Linked DNA regions of Drosophila melanogaster. Changing the gene in region 1 together with any one later gene gives a genetic interaction. Each region holds a gene or a part of one and is shown on either strand. Other genes may lie near its edges. The genes, in order: Vsp37A and r.

Evidence for each region.
Region 2: of Vsp37A (region 1) and r, changing one suppresses a phenotype caused by changing the other (phenotypic suppression), as found in Drosophila melanogaster (one study listed by BioGRID).

What each region holds. Positions count from the first base shown.
Region 1 is NC_004354.4:617,726-626,470, reverse strand, and holds Vsp37A (vacuolar protein sorting 37A), read right to left. Parts: upstream 4,942-8,745; 5' UTR 4,674-4,941; intron 4,666-4,673; exon of another isoform or gene 4,619-4,665; 5' UTR 4,581-4,618; coding exon 4,325-4,580; intron 4,265-4,324; coding exon 4,113-4,264; intron 4,038-4,112; coding exon 3,843-4,037; 3' UTR 3,420-3,842; downstream 1-3,419. Other genes in the region: Hinfp (histone H4 transcription factor), read right to left, coding at 109-802; CG13364 (uncharacterized protein), read left to right, coding at 1,381-1,575; CG13369 (uncharacterized protein), read right to left, coding at 1,752-2,064, 2,127-2,675, 2,737-2,789; CG13365 (uncharacterized protein), read left to right, coding at 5,326-5,670.
Region 2 is NC_004354.4:16,653,466-16,663,132, reverse strand, and holds the start of r (rudimentary), read right to left. Parts: upstream 7,775-9,667; 5' UTR 7,524-7,774; intron 7,043-7,523; exon of another isoform or gene 6,974-7,042; intron 6,749-6,973; 5' UTR 6,736-6,748; coding exon 5,977-6,735; intron 5,913-5,976; coding exon 2,661-5,912; intron 2,596-2,660; coding exon 2,491-2,595; intron 2,236-2,490; exon of another isoform or gene 2,062-2,235; coding exon of another isoform or gene 1-2,061. Other genes in the region: CG15865 (uncharacterized protein), read left to right, coding at 1-2,061; Nemp (nuclear envelope integral membrane protein), read left to right, coding at 8,266-8,997, 9,065-9,667. UniProt on the Drosophila melanogaster protein: Multifunctional protein that encodes the first 3 enzymatic activities of the de novo pyrimidine pathway: carbamoylphosphate synthetase (CPSase; EC 6.3.5.5), aspartate transcarbamylase (ATCase; EC 2.1.3.2) and dihydroorotase (DHOase; EC 3.5.2.3).

The DNA.
Region 1 (8,745 bases):
GTAAACTAAATTAAATCATTGCGGGTTTTGTCAGGAATAACGTATGGCTATAGATATGGCAGCAAGGGTTTTTTTTATGTGTTTTTAAAGAGCAAGTCTCGCACTCACTGTTGTTTTCCGGCTGGCGTCTAAGGTGATCAAAGAGCGTAGTCTTGGTGCGGAACAGTTCGCCGCAGTGGAAGCAAGCCACCTGCTTCTTGTTGGAGTGGGTACTGATGTGCTCGATGAGGCGGTACTTGTTGCCCATGTGCTTGTGGCACATGGCCCAGTTGCACATCGTCTTGGGCCGCTCGTCTTCCGGCGTCTTCTGTATGTCGTACTCGAATAGGGCGTGCTTAACGATGTGGTCCTGGAACTCCACAATCGAAACGAACTCCCTCTCACAGTCGGTCCAACCACATCGAAAGTTCTGGCCCAGAGCGGGCAGCTTCTCCATGAGGCGGGCCGGAGCAGTGCAGGCGGGGATTTCCGGATGCAGATCGCACTCCAGCTTCCCCTGCAGGAGCAGGTTCAAGTAGTAGCCGTGGTAGTACGAATGCCGTTCAAACTCCACCTGGTTTTCGGTGCGGAAATCGCAGGAGTTCCATGTGCATTGATGCTCCGTGTGCTCCGCATGCGCCCCCCGATCGTCCTGGGCCTTCGCATAGTGCTCCAGATGATCCCCAATATGCCCGTTCAGGCTCCACTCGCCAGTGCAGATCTCCTGGCAGTCGCGCCATCCGCAGGTCAGTTCCAGTTCCGCGGGCTTCTTTCGCTTGCCAGGCGGCTGAGGCGCAGGCACTGATGACTGGGGCCTTAGCATGGTTTTCCTGACAGGATTTACACTCTTAATCCCGGATATTAGTTGAATTTGAAATTAAAAGTAAACCTGGAGCAAACAACAACTTTATCGACGAGCTGGTCCAATCGATTTTTCATCGATACATCGCTTTTGTAAAGGTCGCTCAAGAAATCGATGGTAAATTCCTCTTCCTTTTGAATTAGTTGAATAGTTAGTGGTTTAATATTTTTCAACTTATCTATGTTTTTTTTTCCGAAAAGTCATTAAAATTCCATCGACAAAATCGACATTTTTTTATTTTGGCTGGTACACATTGCTGTTAAGGATGACTTTAAGTTCGCTTCGAGAAGCGATTTTTAGAAACAACATAATTATAATTTCATATAAATTTGTTCTTATAATTTCATCAATTAATTGAAATATATGTCCAGTTCCGATAACACGCACAGCCAATCGAAAGCGCGAAGCTATCGATTGTTCTCGTGGTTATCGTGCAGCGGAAATCGGAAAAACGTGTGAAAAAGGTGCGTGACTTTTTGTTGTGGAATCCAACCCGATTTTCATAGATTTTTCCTCCCACGCAGTATAAGCGAGCAAGTATGTCTGGACGCGAGGGCGGTAAGAAGAAGCCTCTGAAGGCGCCGAAGAAGGACTCCAAAGACCTGGACGAGGACGACATGGCCTTCAAGCAAAAGCAGAAGGAGCAGCAGAAGGCTCTGGAGGCGGCCAAGGCGAACGCCTCAAAGAAGGGTCCTCTCGTAGGAGGCGGCATCAAGAAGTCGGGAAAGAAGTGAAGCTGCCACGCCTCCATCTGTAGTCCGCAACCCACTGGATTCTGGACGCTGAATTGCCAGCCGAAGCACACCCATGTGGACCATAATCTTTTTATACTTACGATTACCATTAAATAGATCATTGTACGTCAGGATAGAGATTTATTGTTGCGTTGCATTCTTTTGGGGATTTCCCTCTAAGCGTGTGGGAAGCTCGACTGCGTCCCGGGTAGCTGAACGGATTGCGAGGCCACGGCACAGGCGGCGGCTATGTGCTCCTCCAGTTTCCTCGTTGGATGACGGGCCAAGTTGTGGGCCAAGGCCCCAATGAAGGCGTCTCCAGCCCCCGTCGTGTCCACCACTTTTTCGGGCGGCACACTCGGCGCAGCCACATGCTGGCACACGCCCTTGGAGTCGGCGGAACCGAAAACGGCTCCTAGTTTGCCCAGAGTTATGATCACCGTGTTGGCACCTGCCGCTATCAGCTTTCCAACCGCATCTTCGGCGTGCCTGGCAGAAGTGGGACCCGATTTAGTTGGCAGTACGACTGGTTTACGCTTACTCGCACTTACTCTATGTTGCCAATGTCGGGCATCTGAGTCATCAGTGCCGCCTCGCTTTCGTTCACACAGAAGATGCTGGCCAACTGAAGAAGTTCGGGGGGTGTGTCGGCCATGGCCGGAGCCGCATTGACGATGGACACGCCCCGGAAGGCTCTCAGAGCGGTCAGGGTGGCCTCAACGGGCGTCTCCAGCTGGCACACCAGAACTTTGGCTTCCTGGAAGAGCGCCTTCGCCGAGGAAACGTCACACGAGCTCAGTCGATTGTTGGCGCCCACCACAATGATGATGTTGTTCTCGCCGCCATCTGACACGGCTATCTGGGCCACGCCCGTCGTTTCCTCCGCCAGCTGCTCGACGTGGTTTACATTGACGCGCTCCTCGCGCAGATGTCTCAGGTAGTCGCTGCCGAATGTGTCTGCCCCCAGTTTGGCCACCAGAGCTGTTCGGGATCCCTGGCGCGCGGCAGCCACACACTGATTGGCGCCCTTGCCGCCGTAGCCAATCTGAAAGCGATGCCCATGGAGCGTTTCTCCGGCTTTCGGTAGACGGGTCGTGTAGCTGGAAAAGGTGTTGTATTTGTAAGATTCTCCTTGGGATCGAGCCTTCTCTGCCCACCTACCTTATAAAGTCAATGATGGCCGAGCCGAACACCAGCACTTCCGTTTGGGCCATTGCTGCAATTGCACTAGTCTCTTGTGGGTAGTCTGTTATTTATAGTTTCTTGTGGAATGGAGAAGCAGAGACGAGAGTTCACTGCCGCTTATCACTCGAGATTACTTGACCTCGGTGGAGGAGGGGAAGGGCGACAGCGGGGCAGCCGAACGAGCACTATCAGCCAACTGGCCCAGTCCGCTTCTGGCCGAGATCGGGGAAGAGGTACGGCCGATAAATCGGCGAACTATATAGCTAAAATACCAAAAAAATACCATGATAACCGGATCATTCATATTTCGAACGAATGATGTAGAACGAAACTTTCGATTGTTTTCGATTTTAACAATTGGAATGCTTAGTAATATATGTACATATGAATAATAATGGAGAAAACGTAGTTATGTTTGTTTAATTGCTTTTAGCTTATGCAAACTAAATTAAGATACTAGCACAAGCCACTGTTGAAAAAAGAAATTTTATATATCTGTTATTAAGCATTATTATTCTTCAATATAATAAAATTATTTCAAACTAATAAGGTTGTGTTATCCTTTGCGGTTCGATTTTATTCAAATCAAAACAAAAATCATTCCAAAAACCATTGTTTTGAAAAACCTTTCCCTTAAATAGAAAGAGACGGCATCATTTAAAGCATAGTTTTTTTTTAATATATATGTATATATGGAGAGAATATATGGATGGGGCTCACGATTAACCAAAAGGAAAAAAAGTAAATAGGTAATACATGCGATTCCGGACTGCGTTCTGTTGCACATAGTGCTTCGTTTCGGGGTACGGATAGAATAACAAGACCCTCTTCCCAAGTAAACGATCTTGGGAAACGAACAACTAGTGCACCTTCTTATTACTTCAACAAGGTTTTGCTTTCTGTTCTGGGAATGCGTGGCCGTGTGTGCCATGATTATGTCGCCCCATCTCTGGCTTAACTTCTCTATTTACTAACATTGATATTCTCTACTATTGCGACGCGGATCGTGGCGGTGTGGGAGGAGTGCGAGGAGTGGGAGGACCGTGCTCTGGATGGCACGGCCAGGGAGTGTCACGGCAATCCTAGATACCGGCCCGCTCCAGAGCACTGAGCTGGGTGCCCAGGCGCTCCTCTTTGGCCTTGCGCTCGGTACTGATCTTCTTCGACCACTGGTACGTGTTGAGGAAAGTCTGCACGTCGGTCTTTCCGTTCAGGAAGTGCTCCACGTGACGATCGCAGTCGCCATCGGCATTGGAAGCTGCAATCTGAAGAAGCTCCTTCAGGGGAAATGGAATGCAAGTTACGGATGGGAATGGTAACTCCCACGCCATTGGCTTTTTAAGGGAACTCACCCTGATATGCTGAGGCGCGTATTCATCCGACTTCTTGAAGTACTTCTTGTTCAGCCGGTCGCATTTCTCGCCTAGGTTTTTTAAAGCTGTAAAATCGTCGCTGAGTCGGCGCTTCAGCTCTACCAGATGAATGCCCTTGCACTCGTTCTCTCCTGGATTGGAATACAGAAGGGTTAGGTAGATTTGCCAGCCTCGGGCCGTGACCTACTCACTTGATATAATCTCCACCTGGTCCATCATTGAATCGAGCTCCTCGTTCAGGTACTGCACCACGGACATCTCCTCGATGAAGTCCTCGAAGAACTCGGGATCCCTGTCCAGCTGTTTCAGTTCGTCCAGCGACAAAGTGCACAGGTTGGGCAGGTTGTCCGATTCGCCGGCCTCCTGCTCCTTGGCCTCACTGCTATCGGTCGGAGGTCTTTGAGCAAGAGAGTGGGCAAGGGCAAGATCCTGTGGTGTAGTCGGCATCTTGAGTTTTCAATCCCAATTTTCGAATGTCAATGTGTCTGCGTTAGATCTATTTTAAATTTAGAATTGTGAACTGTATGAACGGAAGTTTACCGGTTTACTGAGTTTTGCGAAAGCCGAGGATAGTTGTGTCGATAGTTGAGCACCACTGAACTCCAAAGGAAGTTGGCAAACCCGGTTGCAAACTACCAACGTTTCAAAGGACTTGCCCGCTGTCCGTGCTACTCAGCCAATCTTCGGCTACTGATGTTCTGATCTTTTATGCTTTGCCTTCGGATTGGAAGCACTGGTTTTATATGCCCCGATCGAAGTTGCATTTTCGTTCTGTGACCATTTCAGTGCTGCCACCTTGGCTAGCTTGCCGCCAAATTCGGCTACCGTCTGAGGCGGTCAGCGGGAATTCAAGTCGCTCGCGCTTTCGTCCAAAGATTTCGCTACAATAATGATTCTCATACGTCTTGGTTTTCATTTAGCTTTAACGTGCACTTTTCCTGAATTAAAAACGTGGAAATGAGGCACAGGGCATTATCGCATCTGCAAAACACATATTAGAAGTGACTTCGCTTTGGCTTGTAAAATAAGCTTAACTTTATTTTGTTTTCAAATAATTAGTTTCTTGCATCCTTGGTTCGAACCATTTGGTGGATTTGAACAGTGTGGCAACTTTGGCTGCCAGCTGCAGTCGCTTGTTTACATTTTGCATCTTTACATAACGAACTTAGTTATAGCAGCACATAAGCACACAATGGCACTGTTCGAGATGAAGTGGCTGCGCCGCTGGGTGCGGCGCAACACGAATCCCATACCGGAGCACCGGGCGGAGCTGTGGAAGCGGCGCCTGAGCATCGGGTACGCCGTTCTGGCCTGGCAGGCATTCGGCCTCGTTTGCTATATGGTCTACACCGGACGCAACGACTGGGCCAAGTACTACGGCTACAAGACGGAGGAGGAGATGGCCCTTTCGCCGGCCCAACAGTTCGCCAAGCACCTGAAGGTCGAGGGGACCGGCAAGATCATCAGGTTCTCTGGATTCCACAAGGTGGAGGAGGTGCCCTTCGACGCCAGCGAGGTGGAGCGGGTCAAGGAGTAACTGTAGTTCCCACCAGCTCAGTGAACCATTATTTTTTTTTAGCCATCGTATGTTTATTGCCATTAAAGCTTACAAATAGGACTTAACTATGTTGTGGCGTCAATGGGAAACCGATGCGGATTCAAAATGGATTCGCGTCCTTCCGCATCGGATACCGGTTAATGGGATAGAAAGACACTATTAAATTTCTTGTAAAGTTCTACAACGACTGGGCCAAGTACTACGGCTACAAGACGGAGGAGGAGCTGGCCCTTTCACCGGCCCAATAGTTCGCCAAGCACCTGAAGGTGGAAGGCAACGGCAAAATCATCAAGTTCTCCGGATTCCACAAGGTAGAGGAGGTGCCCTTCGAAGCCAGCGAGGTGGAGGGGTTCAAGGAGTAGCTGTAGTTCCCACCAGCACATACCGATTGATAAAATAGAAGAACGCTTTTAAATTTCTTGTAGAGTTCTACTTTTAAATTTCGTAAGAAATTAAAATGTTTTCAAACATTTAGTCTTTGGTGTGCGTCGCTGTGGTATTTGCAGACACTCAAGCGACAGCCACACTACTGCAAAAGTTAAACTAATCGAAGATCTCCCATCGCCAGCAATAACAACAATAACAAAACGCAACAACAATAAGCAGCGACGCGACGTTGACCGCGGACAAATCGTATCGTTAAGCGATAACAAGCGAACACAATAACAAAAGCAAAAGCGTAACATATTGGCAGGCTGCAACGGGATTAATCACGGCTATTGGCGCTGGCTAACTAACCAAGTAACAACTCCGGTAATCGGTGTCCCCGCGAGCGGCTGTGATTCCAATCGGAGATTGGCATTCGGTGACTTCTATTAATAAAGCAACAAATCGAAGAGCAGCAAGCAGCATCCTCCTATGCGGAGTCATCTGTTCCATTGCGCACATAACAAAACAAGAAGAGACATGTAAATGAATATTAATAGCCCGTCATCAAGGGGAGGTCATTGGCTATTTCTTTCGCTCGTCCGCTCCCCCAGTTTCGCCTATAACTGCACTTGCTCTGTCTGCGAAATAACGGGACTCAACAACAAATTGCATTTGCAGATGGCTGCCGCCGCATCGTCTAATTGGAATTTGTGCAAAGAAGAGGCGTAAAGAAAACAAAAAAAAATCTGCAAATAATTGCTAATTAGTTGCATTTCTGCCATTGTTCGAAGGCTTCCTTGCGAATTTTTAATGTAATTAACGCGCCAGCTGTTTTTTCGAGTGTGTTCCGTGTGTGTGTGTAGCGGTAGCCAAAGGCCCGATCTATTTTGTTTTTACATTTAGTTTTTGTTTTTTCGGTGTCCAGAAACAACGAAAAGTCAAAGGTGCAAGTGCGTACAAATAGTAGTGCAAGCAAAAACGGCGCATTCCGCCCTGCAGAAAATACAGTCAAAAGAAAAGGGGCGAATCTAGGAAGAGTACCGTTTGAATTAGATTGCCTCTGCCTCCTCTCCTCGCCATATCACTTCTTCGTTTTCTACATTCGCCGCGGGAAACAGGGTGAGTAAAATAATGAAACAAAAACGCAAAGAAATGTAAAGCAGATCGTTGTTGCTTCTGGCGGTTTTGATACGAAAACCATCAAAGAGCATTATATAAATTTCGGGAAAGTGAAATTTTAAAACTTCCACTTTCTGCTTCTGCACTAGCAACAAAAACGCAAGCAGCGCAGCAAAACGTAAACCATCAACAAAGCAACTTTAAAACTCCGAGCCACGCATAAATGTATATATTAGCGAAAACGAAACTATTTTCTAAAAATAATTTATTGTGTCCGCCGCTCGAACAACAACACACAATGTACGTAAGACAATCTAAACGAACAAAGGTCGATAAACACGAAGAGAAACATAAATATCAAAAAGGAGCCGCGTCGAGTGGTAACGGTAAACGGGCAGTGCGCCGCGACTGCGCAGTCCGCTGTAACGGCTTCAAATCGCTATACCTTGCCCTCTAAGATTTTCCACCTTGGACGCAAGCGGCACATGACCAGTTGATCCTTTAACTTTCCTTTTCATGGGCATTCAACTGCCTGGCGTTCTGGGGATGCAGTTAGGAGGAATGGTCACCTCGTAAATTGATATCTCTGCTGAAAAGATCTGTCATCTGTCACCTGATCTCCCTAATTTCTTGAGTGTGGGAAGAGCACCGATATAGCCAACTGCTTGGAGCGTAGCGCACATTTCTTTGGTGCGCCAAAGCGGAACGTTTATAATCGCGGGTATCACAAAAATCTTTTCTATTTTCTAACTGCTGTGCGTTAGAACTACACCAAATTTACCTAAAAAATGTTTGGAACCCACCGAACAAAACTAAATCTCACAGATCTTTTGCCTTTTAGACGCCAGTGAATGGCCGGGGGCTTTGAACCCCTCTCACGTAACCCAACTGAAAAAAATTTGTGCCTCTCTTATTCGTTATCATTTTCCTTAATATTTTGGGGGACGGGCGGTAAGCTCTGTTTCGGCCTGGCCTTTGGTCATAGACCTCTAACGTACGTAGCTTGCAAGCAGTACGAATCATAAAAGAGAAATGCGGTGGGGAAAGAGCGAAGAAACGTGGAACTAGCAGAAATGCTGAAAGTCGCGAGTGAACCGAACCTCTTCTCCTACGAACGGCAGACACGCTTTGCTGCTTCTTGCGGTTTCTTTAGCAGTGTTGCTGCCCTGCTGGCTTTGATAAGGCCCACGCTGGAGAAGAGGCAGCATAGGAAAAGCTCAGAAGAGGACAAATTCAACTGGGCGATACTGATGGAATTTTGTAGTGTCATGTTAAATTCGTCGACATCATCATACAGTCCTGATAATGGCAATAAGTGTAGTTTTAAGGGAAACAGAAAGATGGCAAGAGAAGATAGTAGGGTATGGAAATATTTATGTCTTTGACCAAAGCCCTCTGGGTTTATTTCAGTGAACTGGAGAAAATTTGGCTTACCCAGACTTCGATGAACTAAATCAGTCATTATTAGGATACTTTTAGTATTTACATACAATTACATAAAAGTTCTTGTTCCCCTAGCAATTGTGGCCTTGGACAGAAGTGCTGTGTTTATTACTATCATAGAAT
Region 2 (9,667 bases), about 16 Mb from region 1:
TCCGATAATCGCAAATATCCACCGGCTGGCTATGAAACGGTGGAGGTGCTTCGCCAGTGTCATGTGGAGCAACTGCAGCAGTGCTACCTCAGTTCGCAGCAGTTCATGTTGTACTTTGGAGAGGTGCTGCGTCATCATTTGGCTAACCAATTGGGCATCAGCCAATCGCAGCTGGCCGCGTGTTCGTATCGCGGCTGTAGTGTATATACCGCTCGCGAGGAGCTGGTGCCCGCCATTCATGTGCCCAATTCCTGGCCGGATTGCGCCTTCGAGTTTTGGCTGAGGGCTCGTCCTCGTTTGACCAACCTCCATACTGCCGAACAATTCCAATGGCCAACGGAGCAGATGAAAAAACGTATTCGATCCATGGGCTTCCATGTTGTACCAGTGGGCTATGCACCAAAGCGTTCGCGAAATCCCTTCAGGGAACTGGAATGGCGCATTGTCTTTCCCCAGGCGGAACAGTTTCTCGAGCGGCACTGCCTGACGCCCATGCAATTGAAGGTGTTCCAACTAATGAAGCTGCTGGTCAAAACCTTTGTGGACGAATCAACCACATCCTGTGACCAATCCCCGGGAGCTTTGCTCGAACAGCTGAGAGCCCATATGTTTTGGCAATGTGAGCAGCACAGCAATGATTGGCCAGAGGAGTTTCTGGGCGAGCGATTGGTTCGATTCATTCGCTCCTTCGACGCCTGTTTGGCCAAGAAACACCTGAGCGACTACTTCATTGAGCGGCGCAATCTATTCGAGCATATCCCAGAGGATACGCTGATGAAGCTGCGCAGCATAATGGCCGGAATTGCGGAACAACCGCTGCTGCATGTCATCCAGGCACTGAGGAATCTTCAGCACGCGCCGGAATTCTACCCGCAACTGGAGTACAAGCGACTGTTGGAGAATCTCTTTAGCCAGGATTACCTGGAGCTGCACGGACGGGGCAAGTTCTCGCGTCCACGTCAGGGATTTCCCGCTCTGCAGAACTGTGAAGAAAACAATGGCGGGCAGCAGGTGGAAACGAAAAAAAAAACCGAAAGGACGGAGATCACCGATGCCAAGGGACTCTTGGGATTGGCTCAGCACCAGGAGCGCTCGAGAGGAAAGCTGCGCAGGAAGACACAGCTCTTAAGGGCCACGACTCAGCAATTTCAAATCTCGGCGACGGAACAAAGACGTTGCTCGCTCGACTCCCTGGATCGCCAATTGCTATTGGCACGCTCCAATCCGGAAAGTTCCAAGAGCCAGGAAGCAGCGAAACCGCAACTGAACAACGGCTTGGAGATCCTGCGAAGGAGCAATCTGATCGAACTTCTGCTGGATCATTCGCTGGCCATGTTGGCTCGTGCCATTCGGTTTGGCAACCGTGGACATGCACAGCTTTATCTGGAGCATGGGCAAAGATTGTGCCGCCTTTATCAGCACCTCGGTTGCTCGCAGCAGGCACAGCACTTCGTCCAGGAACTACAGAACGCAGCCAGCGATATGGAACGCATGTGTGAATCGCATATACCAACGTCATCGGGCGGCAGTCCCTCCACGGTGGTTGAATCTCCGCCAGCGCCAAGGAAATCCATCAAGTTCCAGGAGCATGTCGTGCAGATACACACTCCAGAACCGCTGGCCATGCAGAAGCATATGCCCCATCTGGAAAACCATCAGCTCAATGGGATTCTAAGAGCTCACCACCAAGAGGATGCGAACGCCATTGAACCCCTACAGGAGGAGGAGATCAAGAGCGCGTTGCTTCGGGAAATAGAAAGTCGCATAGAAGAAAAACCCAATGTCCAAAGAGATAGAGAACCAATAGATTCTCCTGAAGTGGATAGCCTTAAGCCGCAAACGGGAATCAAATCAAAATCGGAGGAAACAGCCAAGGAGGAATCATTTCTCTCGCTAAACGGAATCCTTCAAAGGCTCTCCCTCGACACGGATAAGGTGCAAATGCTGGGCAGCAAAACGGAGCAACTGGTCCAAAGAGTAGCCCCATCCGAGGCCAAGCGGGATGAACTCAAGGAGATCCTCAAGCGCAACGCACAGAAGCTCAAGGGCGCATTCAACTAGAGACACTAAAGATAATACTACCATATAGTAGCCAAATTGCTAAATCCCGGCGATTAGTGATATATTGATATATTGATAACAGATAAACCAGTTGTGATAAGGGCGGTTAGAGATAGAGATAGAAATATATATATAGTTATGGGCCATAATTATTGTCCATACCATGTGCGCCATATATATTTTCGTAATTAGTAATCTTGAAATCAACGTAATTTCTCTATGATAATAATGTTATTGAATTTGTAAACCAATGTCATGGAAAATAAATAATGCAATATAAACAACCGTTCAATTTGTAAACCAAGTCAGGGAAAACAAATAGTAGGAAATGAGTATTGAAACTACTCAACTTTGTTGACTCGCATCTCCAATGGATTTTGATTAAAGTTGCATGATATACAATAAGCACACAGACATAAATATACTCACATTAACTCCGTGTTCGGCATAAAAGTCGCCAGTGCCCATGGAAGCGTATAGCTTGTAACCCATCTTGGCCAGATCCCGTATGGAAGGCAGCAGCTCCATCTTGTGCTGCAGATGAATGGAGTTATTAATGGAGTAACTAATATCAATAATCAATGGAGTGGCCAACAAACCTTGAAACTGCCAATGGAGAGAAGTACGGCGTTCTTGGGTATCTGGAAGCCCGTGGACATCATGGCCTTGAGATACGCCTCATAGCGGTTGTCCCCGAAGCAGGCAACCTCACCGGTGGAGGCCATCTCGACGCCCAGCTGTACATCCGCGCCCGCGAGCCGCGAGAAACTGAACTGTGGCACCTTGACGCCCACCTTGCCGACGCCATGGAGCACATCCAGTGGCTCCACATCGAGTCCCACAATCGCACGCGTCGCCGTGGCCACAAAGTCGTGGTCCAGCGTCTTGGAGACGAAGGGGAAGGATCGCGACACACGGACATTGCATTCGATGACCTTCAGCTCGTTGTTCTTGGCAATTAGCTGCATGTTGAAGGGACCGGTGACATCCAGTACGCTGGCCAAATCGCATGTGATCCGTTTAATGGCCTCCAGGGTCTCCGCATTCAGATCCTGCGGTGGGGTAACCAGCGTGGCATCACCTGAATGCACTCCGGCATTCTCCACGTGCTCCGAAACAGCCATGCACAGGATGCGTCCATCGGATGCCACTGCATCCACATCGATCTCCTTGGCCTCGGTGAGGAACTTCGAAATGACAACCGGATGCTCGCGACTCACCTCGGAGGCGGCGTTCAGATATGTCTCCAGATCCTGATTGGAATAGGCCACATTCATGGCCGCACCGGAGAGCACATAGGATGGCCTAACCAGACAGGGATAGCCAACCTCCTCGCAAAATTCGATGGCCGACTGTAGGTTGGTCAGCTCCTTCCAGCGTGGCTGCAAGATACCCTTCCTGTCCAGCATGCGCGAGAATTTAAATCGATTTTCGGCACAGTCGATGGACTCCGGCGATGTGCCCAACACCTTCGCCTGCTGGCGATGCAGATCCATGGCTATATTGTTGGGCAGCTGGCCGCCCATGGACAGAATGATGCCCTCGCTATTCTCCATCTCGTAGATGTCCATGACCACCTCGAAGCTAATCTCCTCGAAATACAAGCGATCGCACATATCGTAGTCGGTGGAAACCGTTTCAGGATTGTAGTTAATCATGATGGTGGGTCGCTGTAGCTTCCTCAATTCGCGCAGGCAGCCCACGGCACACCAATCAAACTCCACTGAGGATCCGATACGATAGACGCCCGAGCCCACCACAATAGTGTGTCCGCCGGGGAAGTCCACATCGTGCTCGCTTCCGTTATATGTGTGGTACAGATAGTTGGTACTGGCGGGCCATTCGCCGGCCACCGTGTCGATCTGCTTGACATGCGGGCGGATGCCAAACTCCTGCCGCTGGTGACGAACAGCCAGCTCCGTGCTCTTAATGTACTTAGCTATCTGCTTGTCCGAAAAACCAAAACGCTTGGCCTTCAACAGCAGAGCGGCATCGGTTCGACTGCCATTACGGGTGAGCAGGGACTGCAGTAAGATGATCCTTTCCAGCTTTTCCAGAAACCAATAATCGATATTGGTTAGTTGATGCAGCTCCCTAAGGCTCATGCCCAATTGCAAAGCAGCGGCAATGACGAAGGGACGACGATCCGTCGGCTCCGAAAGCTGCTCGGCCAGCTGCTCCTTGTTAAGCGGAACCACATCCGGATCAAAGCCAAGCACATCGCTGTCCACCATGCGCAGGGCTTTTTGGAACGCTTCCTCGAAGTTGCGACCGATGGCCATCACCTCACCGACACTTTTCATCGAGCTGCCAATGTGCTTGCTAACCCGCACGAATTTGGCCAAATCCCAGCGTGGAATCTTGACCACACAGTAATCGAGGGATGGCTCAAAGCAGGCCGTCGTATTGCCCGTCACCGAGTTCTTGATATCTGGCAGGGGCAATCCCAAAGCCAACTTGGCGGCCACATAGGCCAGTGGATAGCCGGTGGCCTTGCTGGCCAACGCGGAGCTGCGCGACAGTCGGGCGTTCACCTCGATAATGTAGTACTGCTCCGAATGGGGACACAAGGCGTACTGAATGTTGCACTCGCCAACGACACCAAAGTGACGGATAACCTTCAGGGCGGTGCTGCGGAGCATTTGGTACTCGCGATCCGAGAGGGTCTGCGATGGGGCCACCACAATACTCTCGCCCGTGTGGATGCCCAGGGGATCGAAGTTCTCCATGTTGCATACGGTAATGCAGTTGTTGTAGGCATCGCGCACCACCTCGTACTCCACCTCCTTCCAACCCTTCAGGGATTTGTCCACAATTAGTTGGCTCGAGTGGGCCAGTGCCTGTTGGGCCAGGCTCTGCAGCTCCTCCTCGTTGTTGGCGAACCCGGAACCCAGTCCGCCCAGGGAGAAGGCAGCACGGGCCATCACCGGATAACCCAAGCGACTGGCCGCATCCAGTGCCTGGGCAACGGAGTACACAGCCTCAGATGGCGCCACCTGCTCGCCAATCTCGTTGACCCGCTCGGCAAAGAGCTTGCGATCCTCCGTCTCGATGATCGACTGGATGGGTGTGCCCAAAATGCGGACATTGTATTTGGAGAAAACTCCGGCTCGCTCCAGTTGCACGCCACAATTGAGAGCGGTCTGGCCGCCAAAGGTGAGCAGTACTCCGTTCGGACGCTCCGACTTAATCACCTGCTCAACATAGTGAGGTGTTAGGGGAAGGAAGTAGCACTTGTCGGCCATTCCCTTAGAGGTCTGAACGGTGGCTATGTTCGGATTGATGAGCACTGTTTGAATGTTTGATTCCCTCATGGCCTTGATGGCCTGCGATCCGGAGTAGTCAAACTCGCCAGCCTGACCAATGGACAGTCCACCGGATCCCAGGATTAGGACTTTGCGCGGCATCACTGGAGCCGAATCTATGGCAGGCGTAGTCGGACGCAGTCGCTGCTCGATCAGCTGCGGAATGGTCAAATCCTTCTGTTGAATGCTCTCCATAAAGACATCGAACAGGAACTCCGTGTCCTGCGGTCCAGCATGATGCTCCGGATGGAACTGAACCGAAAAGTAGGGCTTGCTGGCATGGACAATGCCCTCGTTGGTGCCGTCGTTGGCATTCACAAATAGCTCCGACCAGCCGTCGGGCAACTGCTCCAAATCGACCGCGTATCCGTGATTCTGCGACGTCATCAGGCAACGTCCAGTTGCTCGGTGCAGGCAGGGCAGATTGTGTCCTCGATTGCCGTACTTCATTTTGTAAGTAGAGCAGCCGATTGCCTTCGCTAACAGCTGGTGACCCAGACATATTCCAAAGACGGGCTTTTGACCCTCCTCAATCACTTTTCTCACCTAGAAACAAAAGATTAGTTAAATTAGCATTATATTCTATCCAAATGATTCAATTGTGACCCACCTGTTGGACGATCTGGTCGCAGCTCTCCGGATTACCAGGTCCGTTAGACAGAAAGAGGGCGTCGAACTGCTCATCCTCGAGACGAGCGCTCCAGGGGAGCAAGGTCACCGAGGCGCCACGTTGCAGCAGGCAGCGCAACTGGTTGAGCTTCAGTCCACAGTCCAGAATGGCGATCCGTGGTCCCTTGCCATTGGGATTACCGTACACTTGTCGCTCCTTAACGCTGCACTCCTTGGCCAAATTCCTGACGTTCGGATCTACGAAACTGGACTTGGGCAGCCCTTCGACCGGCGGTTTCTCGTAGACAATCTTGCCTAGCATGCTTCCCTGCTCCCTCAGTTTTTTGGTCAGGGCTCGAGTATCAATGTCTTGAATTCCGGGCACCTTGTGCTGCTTCAGCCAATCGGGCAGCGTCTTCCATTTGCGCCAGTGAAATGCCTCTTCAGCCACCTCGCCCACCACCAAGGCGGTGGCCTGGACGACGCCTTTCATCCACTCGAAGTGCAGCGGCAGTCCGTGCTCGTCCTCATCCGGCGCTGGTACCCCATAGTTACCGATCAGTGGATAGGTAAGCACCAGGATCTGACCACTGTACGATCGATCCGTGAGCGCCTCCGTGTAGCCAACCATGCCCGTTTGGAAGACCACCTCGCCACCAAAACCCACTTTGGATTCATTCTCCGAGGGAACGTAGCCAAAGGAGTACCCGGGCAACACTGTGCCATCCTCCAGTGCGAGGTAACAGTCCGTAGAGGCCATATTGGACGAGTTGCTGGGGAGGATTGGAAACCATAGGGTATTCTTTAGTACCTGTCACTCGAAAACCGTCTTAAATAAACGAGCAAAGTTAATTAATTAAAAGATCATATCTCTACGAAGGCAAGTAGACACAATATTGAGTCGAAAATCTGATAACAATATTCGGCGACTCTGGGAACTTTACTTAATGAGTATATGCTATGACTATGCTATATGTTTACGCAGAGCGCGTGCATACCCTCGATTTTAAATGTAATGTAATATAATTCCACAGGTTATCTTGTTCAAAAAACACATGTGTTTATAAACACACCGTCACACGCACACAGTTTGCCGGCCCAAGAAAATATACAAAGAATCCAATAGGAAGCCGCGATAGATGAATGTATGCATGTATTTAACTGTCTGGCAACATGTTGAGCGGGGCACAACACGGTTCTGATTGGGAATGGACACTGCTTATCAAGCGTTTCAAGTTCCTGTTGTCATTTGATATTGCCATTCACGGTTTGTTTACACGATGACTAGCGGCGGAGAAGAAAGAGGAAGAGCGAGTGTGAGAGGGTGCGTTTTGTGTGTGCGTAAGCACGTGTGAGAAGTTTGGATCCAATTGGAAACCGGTTCGGTCAGCAAATGAGAATAACAATAACATTGACTTTAACTTTGAATTGGACTTTGGGCAGGAATTGAGGATTAACCAACTGAGAATCCTTAAGCTACGATGCATTAGTATCGCCATCAAGTTATCCTTTTCCCATCTGCACCCGTTACAACTACAGCTCACTTACGATTCCGTGTACTTTCAAGCGAAGCTCTCTCTTTGCTGCACTTGTAGTTGTGAACACGTTTTGGTTTCGACTTTAATTCGATTGACAACTTGATTTGTTTACTTTGCGACACCGCTTTTAGAGCTGGTTAACTTCGCACTGCTCGGATATGTTTAGTTTGAGCATTTAACTGTGTTTGCTTGCAAATTGGCTCCAATTAACGTCTGGAAAATCAAAGTCGAACAACTGAATTCACCGCCTTGGTTGAATCGGAATCTTCGTGCATTATGTGCTAAAAAATGCCACAGCAAGAGCTTAGCTCGGCGGTGTGGAACTTTACTAGAAGTAATATTGCAGGTTGGGAACTTGGCAAGAACGTTATATATTCATTTATTGTTATGAATAAGATAAGATATTTGTAATAATATTAGCAAACATGTTTAAATGGGGTGTTCTGCAAAGTATTCCAAAGGAAATAAATAATCCACAATTAAATGGTTAGTCACAAATTTGAAATCACAACAGTGTAGTCACACACACACCTATCGATACATTTTTCTTACGTTACGATATACTGCCCGTCCCGTCGTGAGTGAGGACATAAACCAAAGCGGCGTTGCTTTTTCATTCGATTCCTTAAAGTAAAGTAAACATCAAAACATCAAGCATAAGCAAGTCAGCATTTAACAAGCGAACGTCCTGCGAGAGCAACAGACTGAAAGCGCACTGATTGATAAGATTAACGCCATTGCAACCGTTCATAATGCATTCGGCTGGACTACTGATGCTAACCGTGGCTGGATATTTCACATCGGGTATTCCTGGCAATACGGCTTCCTCGGACGTCGCCTACCTGACGCCGGGCACATACATCAATTTGTCGGAGAACATCTTGGGACTGCAGACTCTGCGCACGTTCTGCTATCCGGGTAAACGGCTGACGGTGTCAAGTCTCTTCGAGACTGTGGAGTTCGTCCTGGCCATCGGGAGCGATGATTATTCCCAGTACGGTGGGAAGACGCCGGAGGAGGTGTTGCAGCACTACAAGGACAAGCAATCGCTGTTCAGCATCACCCTGTTCGCGCAGAAGCGCCAGCTGCTGCAGCTCTCGCCCTTCGAGCAGCAGTGCATCGGGATTTCCTCCCGCCAGGCGTACACCGTCATTCTGAATAGCATTCCGCTGGATCTGTGGCGTCTCGCACAGTTCGCCGTCGGCATACTGATCCTCTTCAGCGCCCGGCGGCTAGCAAAGAACAGTGTGTTCTACTATCTGGTCGGCATTGTCATCGGCATATGCGCCTCCCTGCTGGTGGTCATCTATTTGGCCGCCAAACTCTTTCCGCGACGTACCATGATGTATGGCGTCCTAATTGGCGGCTGGACCATTGGCTTCTATGTGATCAAACAGCTGGCGGACAATCTGCGTTTGATTCTGATCACCTACCGCGACCATGTGCTGGGCTATCTGGTGATCACCGGACTGATCTCGTTCCTGGTGCGTAGTCACTTGATATTCCCTTTTGATTAGATAACCCCAGCTAATTGCCTCGATTATTCTACAGATCTGCTATCGCATTGGTCCGCCCAAGAATCCTCGATCGCAAACCATCGTCATGTGGGTGCTGCAGGCCATTGGCGCCGTTATGGCTTACTTCAGCAGCTGGCACACCAGCGCCGTGATCTTCATCATGGTGCTGGTCTTTGTGGCCCACTACTTCCCCATTTCGTGGACGAACCAGATCAAGTTCATGTATCGCCGCCGTTTTCCGCTAAAGAGGCGCATGCTCACCCAGGAGGAGTACGAACAGCAGACGGCCGTGGAGACCTCGAAATCGCTGGCGGACCTGCGCAAGTACGTCAACAGTCCGGAGTGCAAGCAGTGGGCGGTGATGGGCAAACTGCGTGATCCTTTGCGCTTCGCCTCGTTCGCCAATGGAGCACCGCATCTGGACGACGAAGAGATCGAGGACCACTCGCGCACCATCGAGGAGTCCATGGATGCGGCGCCCGAGGAGGAATCAGTGGAGGAACCTGAGGAGGATAAACCAGCGGAGTTACTGCCGCTGCCCAACTCGCAGTTCCGCTATCAACAGGCCGCCCGCAACTCGGAGCCGGAGCCGGAGTCGGAGTCCGATGACAGCGAGGAGGAGGAGTTCTTCGAGCAG